Danio rerio: one gene and its partner. Each later gene encodes a partner of the first gene's protein in a complex. Links are inferred from orthologs where the notes say so. Each region holds a gene or a part of one and is shown on either strand. Other genes may lie near its edges.

Region 1 (8,015 bases):
TGAATGCGTCTGACTGTTCTGATTGGCTAAAGCAGGTATCTCACATCAGCACGTTCTAGACGTGCACGCGCTCTTTCCGGCAATTTTCCTTCTGCATTCACACAGCGCAGCATTCCGGCAAATTGCCGGTAATGTTACAACTTCTCTTTCCGGAAAATAGCCAGAACGAATTTACCGGTATTTTCAAAAAGGGCCTGTTCACACATACAACCTTTCCGGAAAATTGCCGGTAATTTTCCGGAAAGGTCTGTGTGTGTGAAAGGGGCTATTGCCTCGTAATGGTATGATGGGCAAGGTTAAAGTCCGTCAAAATCTACAATGTTTATTTTGCTAGCGCACACTTTTATTCTTTAGTTAATCCACTGAAAAAATAATATTTTTTTGTAATTAACCATTAAAATCTGGCATTTGGTTCAACATTTAGGGTGGAAGCAAATGGCAATTGTGGGCTTTGATTGAAGATATTTTTTAAACAGTGGGTTAACTAAAGAATAAGATTGTACATTTTGATTTCACGTGCACTTTAAGGGTGCTTTTACACCTACACTTTTGTTTGGGAACGTGTCTCGTTTGCCCAGTTAGCGCAGTTCGTTTGGCATATGTGAACAGGGCAATCGCGCTCTGTTCCGCGCCAAAGTAATCGCTCCGAGACCGCTTGAGTGAGGAGGTCTCGGCTCGATTAGAAAGAACCCTGGAGCGGTTTGATTGCAGTGAGAAAGTGATCCGATCCGAGCGCGGTTACATCACAGTGTTTTATGGATATGTAATAGGCTTACGGCTATATGAAGAGAGAATTATGAGCATGGCGGGAAGTTTCGCGAGTCTCCGGATGCCCGCAAACGAGTGATGATCTCCCGGTAATCTCGAGTCTCCCTCCCGGTCCTCAAATAGGCATCGTCACGCACCCTTCTCCCCCCTCCCCACTGCATCTCTCCTCAGACACGTCGCGCGTGCACCCTGTCAATCACCATCAAACCACCACCTCTCCTGACAGCTGAGCGGGACGCTGCAAATTAAACCCTCTGAGATAAACAAATCTCTGTTTCGGAACAACTGAATCGATTCACAGGTGTGAAAGCAGCCTAAAGCTGGAAGTTTCAGTACAATGATGTGTTTCCAACTGAAACTGAATATTGATTAGGGGGGGCGGAGTTTTATTTTTTGCGATGGTAGGGGGCGTGGCTTAGCACATTTTGCCCAAACCAAATTATTATAGTTAACCAAAACAAGTGAAAAGACAAAAACTAAAGGTTAAAATAATTTTCTTTCATTTTCTTGTCAGATTAGTCCCTTTATTAATCCGGGGTCGCCACAACGGAATGAACCGCCAACTTATCCAGCAAGTTTTTACGCAGCGTATGCCCTTCCAGCCGCAACCCATCCCTGGGAAACATCCACACACACATTCACACACACACACTCATACACTACAGACAATTTAGCCTACCCATTCTCCTGCATGTCTTTGGACTGTGGGGGAAACCGGAGCACCCAGAGGAAACCCACACGAACGCAGGGAGAACATGCAAACTCCACACAGAAACGCCAACTGAGCCGAGGCTCGACCCAGCGACCTTCTTGCTGTGAGGCGACAGCACTACCTACTGCGCCACTGCTGTAAACGCAAACCAAAATCGTCCCGGAGTGCAGGGGTCCGTTCTTCTTACCTCGCTTAAATGATCTAAGATGATTTGGCAGATCCTGGATCTTTTAATCTTGATAACTGATCTCTCGCTAATTTGGTTCTTCAAACAAGTTCGCAAATCAGATTAGAATGTCTGGATAAACTGATCTGAGATCGCTGCGTGTGTTGTAAAGGAAAGATCTATCCATCCTCGAAATCATGATCAGCAATGCAACGATTGGCTGACGGCACAGCAGCGTAATGACATCATCTGATTAATATTCAATTATCCATGTGAGCAAAATTACATCAAATTAGCAGTAAACGGCTTGTTAAATATGACACGCAATAACCTTCCACATTTGTTGTGAGCTGCAGGCTTTACACTTCATCATGTATTTCAATGCAAATCAATGTATTTAGTTCTACATTTAGAAAAGATTTTCTTTATTATAGTAGTTGTTTTTTTAATCGGTGTAAAGAATAACTGGTTGTTTACAAAAGCATTTTGATATTGGTAAAGGTGTCTGCAACTTTTGTGAAGCATCAAATCCATGGCATATTAACTATTAAAACATGTTTATGACTGCATAAATGTATTATTGCTTTAAAAAAAGTAACATATTCTGCATTTCTATTATACACAATTTGTACTAAAGCGATCTAAAAAGTTCATATCAATAAGTTTTCTCTTCGCACTACCAGGTGGCAGTCTTTGTACTTTCATTTCGAGGGTGCAGATTGCATAAGTTTTATTAATATGTATAACTTTATTTATTTTATTAATGACTATAACTTTATACATATATATATATATATATATATAGTTAAAAATATGTACCATTTTCCCAAGTGTATATAACTACTACTGTAAGAAAATATCAGAATTCAGAACATACTTTCTGTATTATATTTGCTTGAACTGAGCCGATCTAATCCTGTTTATATGAATTGAACCTGCTCCCGACCAGGTTTGACCTAGCAGAACTGTTGCTATGACAACAACTCTCGGATCAGCTTTGAAGAACGAAACGATCCTGGATCGTGTCAAATCATCAATATCCAAATCCAGCTAACTGAGTAATCCACGTACGAAGAACAGACCCCAGGAGCCTTTGCTCAAAGTACTCGTTAATGCTTAGTTTGAGGCAGTTTTAATGTGAGCATCATCACAGAGTAGATGAACAGTGTCTCCTAATGAGCGTCTCTTGTGTTTCAGGCTTGGCTCAATGAGAAGTTTTCTCCAGAACTGTTGGAGAACAAGTCTGAGCTGGTGGAGTGTGTGATGGAGCAGCTCACACACATGGTATGAGTCTGTCTGCAGTGTTTCTCAGTCTGATTAAACTTTGCGTGACGGATGTTAGCCTGTAGACGAGTCAGATTGACCGTTTCAGTATCGATCATGACTTGTGGTGTGATTTAGGAGGAAAACCTGCAGCGTGTGAGGAAAGGAGACCTGAAGGCCAGTGTTCACCGCATGGAGATCGACCGCATCCGCTTCGTTCTCAGCAGCTTCCTGCGCTCCCGACTCAAGAAGGTAAATCGAGCGTAATTTATTCAGAAAGACTGGCAGTACGCTATAGCGCATGTGTTTGGGACTGTGGGGGAAACACCCGGAGGAAACCCACGCCAACACGGGGAGAGCATGCGAACTCCACACTGAAACGCCAGTCGGGACTCACACCAGATCTGTTCTGTAGGCTGATGTTGTGTCCACGTCTGGTTTTCTCGTCTGCAGATCGAGAAGTTTTTCCCTCATGTTCTGGAGAAGGAGAAGTCCCGTGCTGATGGAGACCCCTCGTTCCTGTCTCCTGAAGAGTTCGCCTTCGCTAAAGAGTGAGTTCAGCGCAATCTGCGACTGTCGCACTGAGGATCTGTTCATGTCTGTCAGAGAGACGCTTCTGGACCGAATGATGAGGGCGATTGAGGACAGAGAGAGAGAGAATTTAAGTGTGTGTGTGTGTGTGTGTGTGTGTGTGTGTGTGTGTGTGTCTGTTTGTTTGTGTGTGTGCACGTCTGTCTATGTATGTGTGTGTCTGCATCTGTTTGTGTCTGTGTTTGTCTTTGCGTGTGTCTGTGTGTGTGTGTGTGTGTGTGTGTGTTTGTCTTTGTGTGTGTGGGTGTTTGTTTGTGTCTGTGTGTGTCTGTTTTTGTGTGTGTGTGTCTGTCTGTGTGTGTGTGTCTTTGTGCATTTTTGTTTGTGTGTGTACATATCTATGTATGTATGTATGTATGTATGTATGTATGTATGTATGTATGTGTGTGTGTGTGTGTGTCGGGTATGTATGTGTGTGTTTGTGTTAGTGTGTGTGTCTGTGTGTGTGTGTCTTTTTGCAATTTTGTGTGTGTGTGTGTGTGTGTACATGTCTATGTATGTATGTATTTGTGTGTGTCGGGTATGTATGTGTGTGTGTTTGTGTTTGTTAGTGTGTGCACGTCTGTCTGTATGTGTGTGTGTGTCTGTGTGTTTTTTGTTTGTGTCTGTGTTTGTGTCTGTTTGTCTGTGTGTCTGTGTGTATGTGTGTCTGGTATGTATGTGTGTGTGTGTCTGTTAGCGTGTATGTGTGTGTGTGTGTGTGTGTGTGTGCACGTCTGTCTATGTATGTGTGTGTCTGTGTGTTTTGTTTGTGTCTATGTGTGTTTGTGTCTGTGTGTTTGTCTGTCTGTGTGTGTGTGTCTGTCTGTTTGTCTGTGTGTGTGTGTGTGTGTCTGGTATGTGTGGGTGTTTGTTAGCGTGTATGTGTGTGTGCACGTCTGTCTATGTATGTGTGTGTCTGTGTGTTTTTTGTTTGTGACTATGTGTGTTTGTCTTTGTGTGTGTGTTTGTGTCTATCTGTGTGTGTGTCTTTGTGTGAGTGTGTGTGTAAATGTCTGTGTGTGTGTATGTGTGTATATGTGTTTGTCTGTCTTTGTGTGTATGTGTGTGTTTGTCTGTCTGTCTCTGTGCGTGTGTGAATGAGTGTGTACCTGATATCCATTACATTATGGGGACAATAAAATACAGCAATTCCAGTACATTTTGACATTGTGGGGACATTATTTTGGTTCCCTTGAGGAAAAGTGGCCCATAAATCAGACAGAATGAAGTATTTTGTAAGATGTAAATTTGCAGATTGTTTCCAGTGAGGGTGGGGTTGGGGAAGAGTAAATACAATAGAAACATCATTACATCTATGGTGAAGTCCCCAATAAACATGAAAACTCAATGTGTGTGTGTGTGTGTTCAGGTATCTGGCGAACACAGAGGTTTACCTGCGAGCCGTGGCTTTGAAACATATGCCACCAAACCTGCAGAGCGTCGACATGATGAAGGCCGGTGAGAAACACTTCTGTATTGAAATAGCCCCTATTATGCATTAAAAGGTCATGTTGTGGATTTGGGGGTCTCCAACAACAGGCTGATCTGCATATAGGGTCAAAAAACACCTTCATTGTCTTATAATATGCGTTTATTTTTACCTGATTACCTAACGACTCCCAGGTGATTCAATCAGTGATTCATTTTTTTTTCCCCCGAACAACGACTGTAAAAAATATGTGAACAAATATGCTCCCATTGAACGCCTTAAATGCATGACGGGCACAAACTGTCGCAAAACACTGCTGAAATTGGAGCATGCGCAATAGAACTGCCTGATGGAGCCAGAGGCGGAGCTGCAGAATCAAGCTTCCAATCAAATGTGTGTACGCCAAATCAACCACGCCCCCCGAACGTCTCACCTGACCGCCCGTTTCTGCACAATAACAAAGGCTCGCTAATTTAAATATAAGCACTTGCATTCAAACACATGTAATTATATACGATTTATTTGAAAACTGTGATGCAAGCTGTTATTAATAATTTAATAAAAATAATATCTGCTGGACTGCAGAAATAAAAGTTAGACTCCGCTATGAGCACACAAAATATTTCTCTTATAACGGGTTGTTGGTATTTGGCATCTTCATAGTGTCACGGTAGAGCGACCAAAACAGGAACAAAAAAAACGGGTGTAGAATCCAAGTGCAGTTTAATTGATGTATAGGGCAGTGAAAGTGACAAAAATACAAAGTAACAAAATAGCAAACTAACAAAACAAGAAACTAAGACAGATTAAACTCGAACTAGACTATAACAAGATACAAGAGCAAGGATCAGGAATAACATTAAAAAACGACAACGACCAACTGACAAACAGAGGATAAATGACTGAATATATAGTCCAGGTAATCAACGGAGAACGGAGACAGCTGTGGTTGTAAATCAGTGTAGATGACAGACCGGGTGTGTGCGCGAAAATATGTATGGAAATGTAGTTCTTTAGCCACTGTAGTTCATTGGGGGTTGCTGGCACCTGGTGGACAAACACAGTCATGACACAAAGGGGTAGAAAACTTGTAAAGTATGAAGAATAACATATCAACGACACATACATTTTTTAGAAAGGCTTTTGTTCTTAATTAGCAATCACCAGGACCCAAAATACACGCACCATGAACAGCTATTTACCATGCGGGAAAATCGTGTGTTTATATTAGAAACAGTGGCGTAGCGCAAAATGCGGAGTCCCCCTGCAGGGATCGCTGACGGGGCCCACTGATGAAGAGGGGGGGGGGGGATACGTCATACGCCAATTTGCATATCACTGACGTCATCACGTTTTACCGTTTCTGTTTGTTTTACACCCTATGGTTAATAAAGGGGTATTTATAATTGCACTACACTTTATATAAGCATGTTTATTAACTAAATGTATTGCTGTTTGAATACAGTATGTCATTATAGATGTGTAGTGAATGTGCAGTAATCTCTCATATGTAATAAACTCAGACAAATTCAGAAACTGTCACTAATATCTGTGATTGTTAAAATAAAGTAGAAGTAGATCGGTTTGACTGTACAAGGGAAATACCTTTACACTGCCTGTGCTAAATCATTTGTTGTCGGTACGCAGAGGGGTGATCTGCTCTCGGGCTGCAGATGAGAGAGGCTGCTGTAGAGGACTGACTGGGCCGCCTGTCAGTGCTGTGAGGCGGGGGAGGGGTCGGCGGCATCACACGCAGCTCGTTGAGAAGAGTAGGGACGGTACAGTATGGACAAATGACAGTCTAAAAAAATCTCCAATAACATACAAAAAAGTCGCTAGATTTGTCGTTAGGGGGTCTGAAAAGTCGCTAAATCTAGTGACAAAGTCGCTAAGTTGGCAACATTGGCGGCAAGCAATCAGAATGAAGTAGTCCACCGCTTGAGAGGTGTTTAGAGAACACAGACCTGTGAACTTTGGTTCCGACCACAGTTGTTCCCAAGAGTTTGATTATTGCGGTTGCCGGTTGATTTTCAATTATTGAAAATCGCGACGACGCGGGGCCCCCTAATCACGCGGGGCCCCCCCGCGGTGCGTGCCCTGCGGGCCCATCCGCTACGCCACTGATTAGAAAAGGATACAGCAAGATTTCTAAATATCAACAGGATATTTACACATCTCTGCACTATATAAAATAACCCTTTTCAATTTGTACAATAAACTATTGTACAAAATATTGCTGGCATATTGTTCGATTTTTTTTTTTTTTTTTTGTCTTTGCCTCCGTTTTCATTTGGTTTATTCAATGCCTTAATTATATCTGGCAAAGAGGAGTTTACATTCATTTGAATGTTTATTAGGAATTTTCAAATAAAAAGTCAACGGTAAATGGTGTGTATAAATAATACATGTAACATTTACAGCTTTTTTTTGTTATTTAAGATTCAGTTTCTAGAACATTAATACTTTATAAATGCAAATTCAGTAGATTAACTTAATAATATGATGAAACTCAAAATCAAGCTCAGAGATATTCTTAAAATCAAGTTCAAATAACGTTGCATGAGATCGATCTGGGCATACAGGCTAACATTAGTTTTGTTTTTATAATTATTATTTCAGACCCATAAGTTGAATTACTGCAAGATAGCAATCATCTGTATTTTCCCTGACATAATAACGTTCAGTATCAGCAAACAAAAGCCCACATTTAACCGAATAAACGGTGATCCGTCAGATCCTGTAGGTCAGAAAGTATAGTTTAATCATGGTAAAATAACACAGAAATCAAACTTTGGCACTTTAATCTCCTCCTGAAGCTCTAATGCTGCGTTCCCACCAGACGCAGAACGCGCGTCAAGCGCTAGTGATTTACATGTTAAGTCAATGCAAACGCGCGAATAGACGTCCTGCGGCGTGATATGCGCGAATGACGCAAATTGCGCGGTGCAATACGCACGAATAGTGTGACGCGAATTGAGCGTTTTGCGCGTTTGATGCACTTAACACGCGTTTTGCGCGAATCATTCGAGTTCGAAAATCTGAACTTCAGCGGACATTCGTGCCGTGTTAACCAGTCAGGAGCTTGCTCTTGTGGAGGCGTGATT
Region 2 (8,015 bases), on another chromosome or scaffold:
ACCGTAGAGTTTAAAAAGGGTTTTAAAACCATAGAGCAGTCTCTGGCAGAGAAGTGAAGAACTCCTCACATTCTTACGAAGATATTTTATTTAACTATTACTGTAATAACTATTAATAAGTATTATATAACTATTTTAAGTTATTATTTCATTGACATGAATACAATTAACCATGTATGATATAATTACTAACCCCTCATCTAAAATAATAAAATAGCCTATTGTTTTATTCATGGCTAGAGTTTGATTCATTTGATTGAAATCCTAGGCAATGAGACCTTTAATTCACCTGGTTGAATGTGAGTTTGCACGCAGCGCTGTATTTGGTAGCACAAACACTTGCTCTGATCCGGGAGAGAACTTTACCAATGACTACATGCGCTGCTGAAAGACTTTTTTTTCCTGCTGCGCATCGAATAAAGCAAAGAAAGACATGCTTAACATCATCGATGTCCACAACAACACCACTATATCCATGGAACATGAACTTGCCAACTCTTTTTAACAACGAGGAAATAATTGTACTTTTTAATTCAAAGCCCAGGCGGCTTGTTAATTTAATACCGGCGAGACCACCTGAAGGATTGCTACAGCGTGCTGTAATTGTTGGCTGTCCAAAAGTCTACGGTCGGTAGAAAGTGAACTCTTAATTTTTATGGACTTTGCTTGAAAGCTTTACGGAGTGGCACTGTATCTGTCCAAGGTACCGTTGTATGATTTATATTATAGCCTATATATGCACCAATAAACAAGTCAAATGAATGAATAAAAAAATATGGATTATTTATTGTCGGTATTGCTTTTACTCAAAAAATAACAGTACTTTTTGACAAATGTTTTACAAAAATAAAATGAGCAATTTTTATCATTTCTAAAGGCCATTTTATGATTTAGTTATACATAAGTTTGACATTTATGGGGGCATGTAACATGTTTCTGTGTTTTTTGTGATCTGTAATATATACTGGGTAGCTATGCAAATATTTTCTGAAACGTCAAGCAAGAATTTGCTTACAGCTTTTTAGTTAATTATGAAGACAAAAAAAAAAATAACAAAAATAAAACGATAAAAATACAAAGATAAAAGAGCAGCATTTTGCTAAATATAATAGTCCTTTATATGCTTTATATCCTGCTTTGTGTTGTTTCGTATTAATTTTTTTATTTCACTTGCTGCATTCGTTATTTAACGTTTGAATACTGAAACAAATAGCAGCCATCACTTAAAGGGTTATATTTTACCATCAAAATGTAGTATATGTTAAATCATTATCAACTTTTGATATAAAACCACTGTGTAATTTGATTGATTGTCAAAAATGAAACAATTTAAGTGCTATATTTTTTATTTATGAAAGTGCCTGCTTCTGCCACTATAATACAAATGCACTATTATTGTTGCCTTATCATTGTTTAATTTTCTGTTATGTTCAGAGATTTTAAATATATTATTTATTTCCCCTCCACTCATTTTCAATCATCACGTTACATTTTGGTCATTTTCTCTCTAAATAAAATTTATCCAGAGCCGCGCAACATACCTCTAATAAATAAGGGTTCTGTGACATGTACCTATATTTAGCAGCCCTGTATAATGGAGGGGCTTAACAGTGTTTAGACACATGGTTGCTTTCGTTTTTATGAACATGAAAAAACTAGTTTCGTCTTAAATTTAATTTAAATTTAATTGAACAAAGGGAGCCGTTTACATTGTGTTGCCAGGGCAACTATTGATGCGTTTTGTGTAATGTTTTGAAAGAGCTTTGTTGCAGCACTTGTATCTGTGCTGTCTGGCTCGGTTTGGCACGGAATGGAACGGTTCTGCACAAAGAACGATTCCGCACGATAGTGGAAAAGCGGCTCTTGATATATCCTAATCTCCCCCAAGCAAAGCACTTTACCATTCTAAATGAACAAAGAGCTATATTTTTCTACTATATTTTTCTCTCCATTGACAAAGCTAGGCTACTACAGGTGTGATGCATCTCTGTTGTTAAAGCTGTCATTTTATATTAATTTAACAACATTCTGGTTTTATCACTTGACAAAAATTCAATGAAAAGAAAAAAATACACTTTAAAAATGTCTACAATTCCTGCTGGTGTCAGGACTCAAAGCTGCAATTTTTTTTCTAAGTGTTTGAAAATGAAAGGCCTGGTGCTGTGATGATCATAGCAAATACAACAGTCTGAATGTTCTTTACAAGCATTGTAAAAGTTTTAACAATCATTATTAACTTTTATTTTTGAAGTGCTTGTGATGGCCGTACCATGCATGTTCTTTATCTAAATACATTTGGTAATATTGAAAATCAGCATGTCTTAACTGTATTCTATAAAACACTGACACATGCTTATTGATCATGTCCATATATTTGCACTTGAAATTAATAATATTGTTTATTGTATATTGAAATATTATATTTGTGTTCAGTGCTGCAGATAACATTCCCAAAGCCGATGAGATTCGAACGCTGGTGAAGGACATCTGGGATACACGTATGGCTAAGCTGAGGCTTTCAGCTGACAGTTTCATCAGCCAGCAGGAAGCTCACGCTCAGGTAAAACCCCACAATTATCATGACCAACTGATGAGTAGATCAAAACCACTCAATACTCTGTCAGGTGCACAGTAAACCTGCACTAAGACTGATTTCTAGCTTCGCTTGGTTCCTTTTCACAAGCTTTTACTTACTGTACGTGGACAGCCCTGATTGGTGAAGGCTTAAGGCTGGTCATACTCTGCAAGTTGGGTTAGTTGCATGTGGTGAATGTGACGTTATCACAGCATTTACGGATGTTCACTTTGAGTGAGTGAGTGAGTGGGTGGGTGGGTGTGTGAGTGCTGAGGAAATTTGAATGTACAACAACTTTTAGAAATCCTAAACAATAATGTGAAGTCACTTTAGGTTTCATTTGAAGCTTTGAGGGAAAATATTGCATATATTTTGTGCAGAGGTTGTCCAATGCTTTTCTGTTGTATAAAAGTTTTTGCATTAAGCATGCTGTTAGCTTTAATATATAAAACATAGCTTAAATTAACCTTTAAATGCAAACAATTTCAAAAGTGTACTTTGAAAATATCCACAACCCAATAATATTATATATAACTAAATGCTTTCATTTAGGAACTTCACTCACTGACTTTTTCTTCAGCACTGTTTTATTGTGACATTTACTCTGATTCACCTCCTGTTATTACAATTAATAGTACAGCGGCAGGTGGGTCAAATAGCCGTTACTTTAAAGATGCTTCTTGATTTATGAATCTTTGGATATTTGGAATTCTATACATTATCTGAGAAGTTTGAAAAGACACTTTGGGACTTGGGTTTGCTATTATATTATTATTGTTATTATATTACGATGTCCATATTGGTTCTGCTTATTTTATGCACTGCTAATGATGTCTCATACGGCAATGAAAGCTGGTTATCATATTTCTGTGCATTCTATCATAAAGTTACTCAAGACAGAATGCTACATCTTCATTTTTACATTCTTACATACACAACTTTAGTAGGTTTAATAGGAATGTTTGTGTTTTTTATATAAACAAATCATAGGCTGAATTGTTTAAATTAATTGCAGTCTTTTTCAATTTTAGTTATGCAGATGTATTGAAACGGGATGTTAGTTCGATAAAATATAGAATAATCCTGGGAAAAATGCAAGGGTTGACATTTAATTTTCTAAACACTTTCATATTTCCCAACATTCAGTAAACAACAGCATTCATTTTAAAGTTGATTAATCGCTTAAGTTCAAAATGAAAAATCAAGCATATTTATATGGGTTCCAGCACACACAGGAAGGAATAAGTTATGTGAACGCTGTGATGTTGAAGAGATTATGCTTGGAAAAGATTAGGGAAAATGTAATGCATTTAAAATGTTAAGGTTTTAATTATTTGGTCAAGTGAAATAAATACTGTAGAATGATTGGAGAGATGGAATCGACAAATAATATAACATTCTGATCCACACTGCCCACTAGTGGTTGGCAGCATTTGTGTAATACAAATGAATAATAAATGAATGACACATATTTATTCATTCATTCGTTTATTTTTCGGCCTATTCCCTTTATTAATCTGGTGTCGCCACCGCGGAGTGAACCGGCAACTTGTTGGTTGTTAATTATTTACTTGATTTAAGGTTTTTTGTTTTTTTTAATGACACCTCTAAAATTTTGATTTACGATTAATCACAACTAATAGCACACAATGAAAGCATGTTTACATAGTAATTTTGTGTACACTGTTAATTAGTATACACACTGATGTGTGTATAAATATATAGATATTGAAAAGGTGTTTTTGTATTGATAGACAAATAATTATATTTAGCAATTTATACTGTATATAATTCCACATGTGTTAATTTAAAATTTTCATAGTCAAGAAAACTCTTTGAATAAGGAAGTGTGTCCAAACTTTTGGTCTGTTCTGTATATAAACGTGAAGTTGTGCTAGAAAGTTTATATACCCCTTAAAAATGTGAATAGTTTTAATAAAAACAGAAAGATAATACATATATTGTAGCTTTTTTGTTGTATTGTTCAGAGAATAGCCTGGTTTATACTTTTGCGTCAAGTGACCGGTGTAACTCACGGCACATGCAACGCGCGGAGCTGTGCATTTATACTTCTGTGCGCTGTCTCTGTTGGTCTGCATTAACACTTCCGAAACGCTGAACACATCCAGAATGTACAAGTGGCTCAAACTCGCACATTTTGAGGCAGGAACCGGCGGATGTGCAAAAACTTTAAATATGAGGTAAACACAAAACAAAACTTTCCATTCGGAGCTCCTTCATGGGACTCCACACTTGTAATCAATCGCTCCAACCGTCTTGCGCCATTCGCGCGGCTCTCGGTCCCGCCCAGACTCGTCAGCACTACCAAGCCGACCAATCACAGAGCTTGCGCTACGCGTCGTTGCGACGTGTAGTTACATTTTTTTTAAAGGGGTGCACGTCAGCCACGGCGTAGGGCTATGCGTCAGCGCCGTAGCATACGGGTACGTTTGACGCAGAAGTATAAATCAACCTTAAGATAATTCATATAAAAAATGTTTACATTTAGGTCACTAGACAAAACTAGCTGAAATAATTAAAATAAACACCTGCAAAATTTGACTGACCTTTTTTTCAATACTGTCTGTGATTTCCACTTTTTCAGCTTTGTGATCATGAGTTGGTCATCAGTTGATCATGAGTTTCTTGTTGTTCTAAACAGTAAAAGTGACGACTGCTCTTCAGAAAAGCTCATCTCCTGCAGATTATTTTGTTTTCTAGTATATTTTGCAGATTTGAACTAGATGTTAACATCTTTTATGTGCAATACGTTACTCAGGACAGTGCTAAATAAAAAATATATATTTGCCTTTGTATATTTGTGTGTGTGTGTGTGTGTGTGTGTGTGTGTGTGTATATATATAAATATATATATATATATATATATATATATATATATATATATATATATATATATATATATATATATATATATATTTAAATTATTCACAATTTAACAAATTTTTCAAGGGGTATGAAAACATGAGCACAACTGAATATGTTCATATTTTTAAAGTGTACACACACACATGTACAGTTGAAGTCAGAATTATTAGCCCCCCTCAATTATTAGCCTCCTTTTTATTTTTTCCCCTAATTTCTGTTTAACGGAGAGCAGATTTTTTTTCAACACATTTCTATATTCAATTCACCTTTATTTGAATAGCACTTTCACAATGTAGATTGTGTCAAAGCAGCTTCACATATAAGATCATAGTAAAATGAAAACCGTGTCAGTCCAGTTTTCAGAGGTTAAGTTCAGTTCAGTTTAGCTCAGTTTAGTGTGGTTTAATATTCAATACTGAGTCCAAACACTGAAGAGCAAATCCATCTATGCGCAGCTCTACAAGATCCCGAACCATGCAAGCTAGTGACGACAGCAGCGAGGAAAAAACTTCACCAATTGGCGAAAGTAAAGAATTGAAAAAACCTTGAGAGAAACCAGGCTCAGCTGGGCATGACCATTTCTCCACTGGCCAAACATCTTGTGCAGAGCTGCAGTCTAGGTGCCGGAGGCATAATAGTTTTAATAACTCATTTATAATAACTGATTTATTTTATCTTTGCCATGATGACAGTAAATAATATTTGACTAGATATTTTTCAAGACACTTCTATACAGCTTAAAGTGACATTTAAAGGCTTAACTAGGTTAATTAGGTTAAATAGGCAGGTTAGGGTAATTAGGCAAGTATTGCGTTTGTTCTGTAGACTATTGAAAAAAATATAGCTTAAAGGGGCTAATAATTTTCACCTTAAAATGAACTTAAACCTTTAAAAAAATGAAAACTACTTTTTATTCTAGCCGAAATAAAACAAATAAGACTTTCTCCAGAAGAAAAAATATTATCAGACATACCGTGAAAATTTCCTTGCTCTGTTAAACATCATTTGGGTTAATAATTCTCACTTCTACTGTATATTGGTGCATTTCTATGTGTATTTAAAATAAGTGTGTGCACTGTGAATATATCTGTAAATACCAACTTTTACTTATACAAAAATACAAACTTAATTAAACATTAAACTGCACCATTCAGCGGCAAACATTTGTTATCAGATTTATGGTGATGAAAATTGTCACAGTGTCTAACAGCTGAAGTATACTTTGGTCTTGATTGTACTCTAGAAAAGTTTCATGCTCCACTATTAATAGCCACCTTTCCTAATTACAAGTGTAAAATGTTACTTAACCTAGAGTTAAAGCACGCTTTAGAAGTGCACAATGAATCCCAGTATTAATCAAATGTTTAACGTGATCGATTGATGGCCTTTCATTCTGTCTTTAGCTGGATAATCTCACACTAATGGAGATCAACACTACACGCTCGTTTCTGCTGGACTCTCTGAACTACATGTATAAACTGCGCTCAAACCTGCAGCCGGGCAGAAGTAAAGACTACTGAGACACGATCAGGTACTTCAGCCATTCCTCTCCTATCAACAGACTGAAGTTTGCTTTTATCTTCTGCAAATGATATTTGAAAGATTACTAAGAGCAGAATCTTTTCTCAAATAATGGCCACTGCTGGCGCTCGGCGTGTAAATAGTGACTGATGTTCCCTTAGAATCCTTTACTGTTTGTGTGTGTTGTAGTGTTTTATTACTAAAATGTTTATATTTGACTAAATAAATGTATAAACCTAAATTTATACTTGTATTGTTGTGATTTCTTTTATGAATATGTGAAACACCCAATGCAGAGACATCCCTCCAACACAAATTCACCAAAAGAGTTCAAGCTTTTTCAAAAGACCTGGTTGCTTTGCTTTATATTATAAGATAAACCGGTTTGGGGCTTTTATCCCTGGAAAATAGACACCACCTGGATTCAACTAAGCTTAACTAAGTTATTGAACACTAACAGATGCAGAGAGTACCTTCTCATTTCTTAAACCATCTGTAAATTATTGGCATGCATCAAGCATAAAAAACATATAAGGAGATTGCTAAAACTAATATTACAACTAAACCCACTTATCAGTGAGCAGGGCTCACATTTAAAACCAATCTTCAAGTTTCCTGACTGTTCCATGACTTTTAACTGACCAAAAGCTAAATTTCCATGACCTATAGAACAGAAAAGCAGGCATCTCATGTTGTGCACTGAGCAAAGCGTATTTTAAATCCATACATTTGCTAGCTTCATTTACTTGTTTACAGACATTTTTGGTATACAACAAGTATATTGTATTTGGTATACAAGTTATTCAGCAAAAAAATAAAACAAGTAATTGAAGAATTTTTAAAATGCTTATTTTATTGTGTCGTGTTGTCTGTCGCATCTAGGACCCAGATGTTTCAAGGGCATTGTCAGTCTTTTCAGTTAGCCTTCAACATTAATGCAACATGAGTTAAAAGTACATTAAATAACAAATCATTTACCCAAATATGAATTTAAATACATGCCAATACCAGTTGCAGGGTCTAACAATTTATG

The links. Proteins that work in one complex are often made in the same cells at the same time.
Region 2: the proteins of gins4 (region 1) and gins2 are in contact, whole or in part, in a crystal structure (PDB 2E9X), measured with the Homo sapiens proteins. The link is inferred for Danio rerio from reciprocal best matches to the Homo sapiens genes GINS4 and GINS2. Residues at the interface, in NP_115712.1 of Homo sapiens: Pro23, Ala24, Ile27, Glu28, Glu31, Trp34, Met35, Lys38, Phe39, Gln57, Met61, Leu73, Lys74, Ser76, Ile77, His78, Met80, Glu81, Arg84, Ile85, Tyr87, Val88, Ser91, Asp166, Asp168, Ser169, Tyr170, Val171, Phe172, Val184; in NP_057179.1 of Homo sapiens: Met1, Glu5, Phe8, Leu9, Glu11, Lys12, Phe21, Leu23, Asp24, Lys25, Ile26, Tyr27, Leu28, Ile29, Gly30, Trp47, Leu48, Asn51, Leu52, Arg55, Lys57, Phe135, Gln139, Glu140, Ala141, His142, Ala143, Lys144, Leu145, Asp146.

The regions. Positions count from the first base shown.
Region 1 is NC_133183.1:62,249,384-62,257,398, forward strand, and holds part of gins4 (DNA replication complex GINS protein SLD5), read left to right. Parts: intron 1-2,843; coding exon 2,844-2,930; intron 2,931-3,047; coding exon 3,048-3,161; intron 3,162-3,362; coding exon 3,363-3,460; intron 3,461-4,851; coding exon 4,852-4,940; intron 4,941-8,015. UniProt on the Homo sapiens protein: Required for correct functioning of the GINS complex, a complex that plays an essential role in the initiation of DNA replication, and progression of DNA replication forks.
Region 2 is NC_133193.1:32,035,602-32,043,616, reverse strand, and holds the end of gins2 (DNA replication complex GINS protein PSF2), read left to right. Parts: intron 1-2,433; coding exon 2,434-2,560; intron 2,561-6,864; coding exon 6,865-6,981; 3' UTR 6,982-7,223; downstream 7,224-8,015. UniProt on the Homo sapiens protein: Required for correct functioning of the GINS complex, a complex that plays an essential role in the initiation of DNA replication, and progression of DNA replication forks.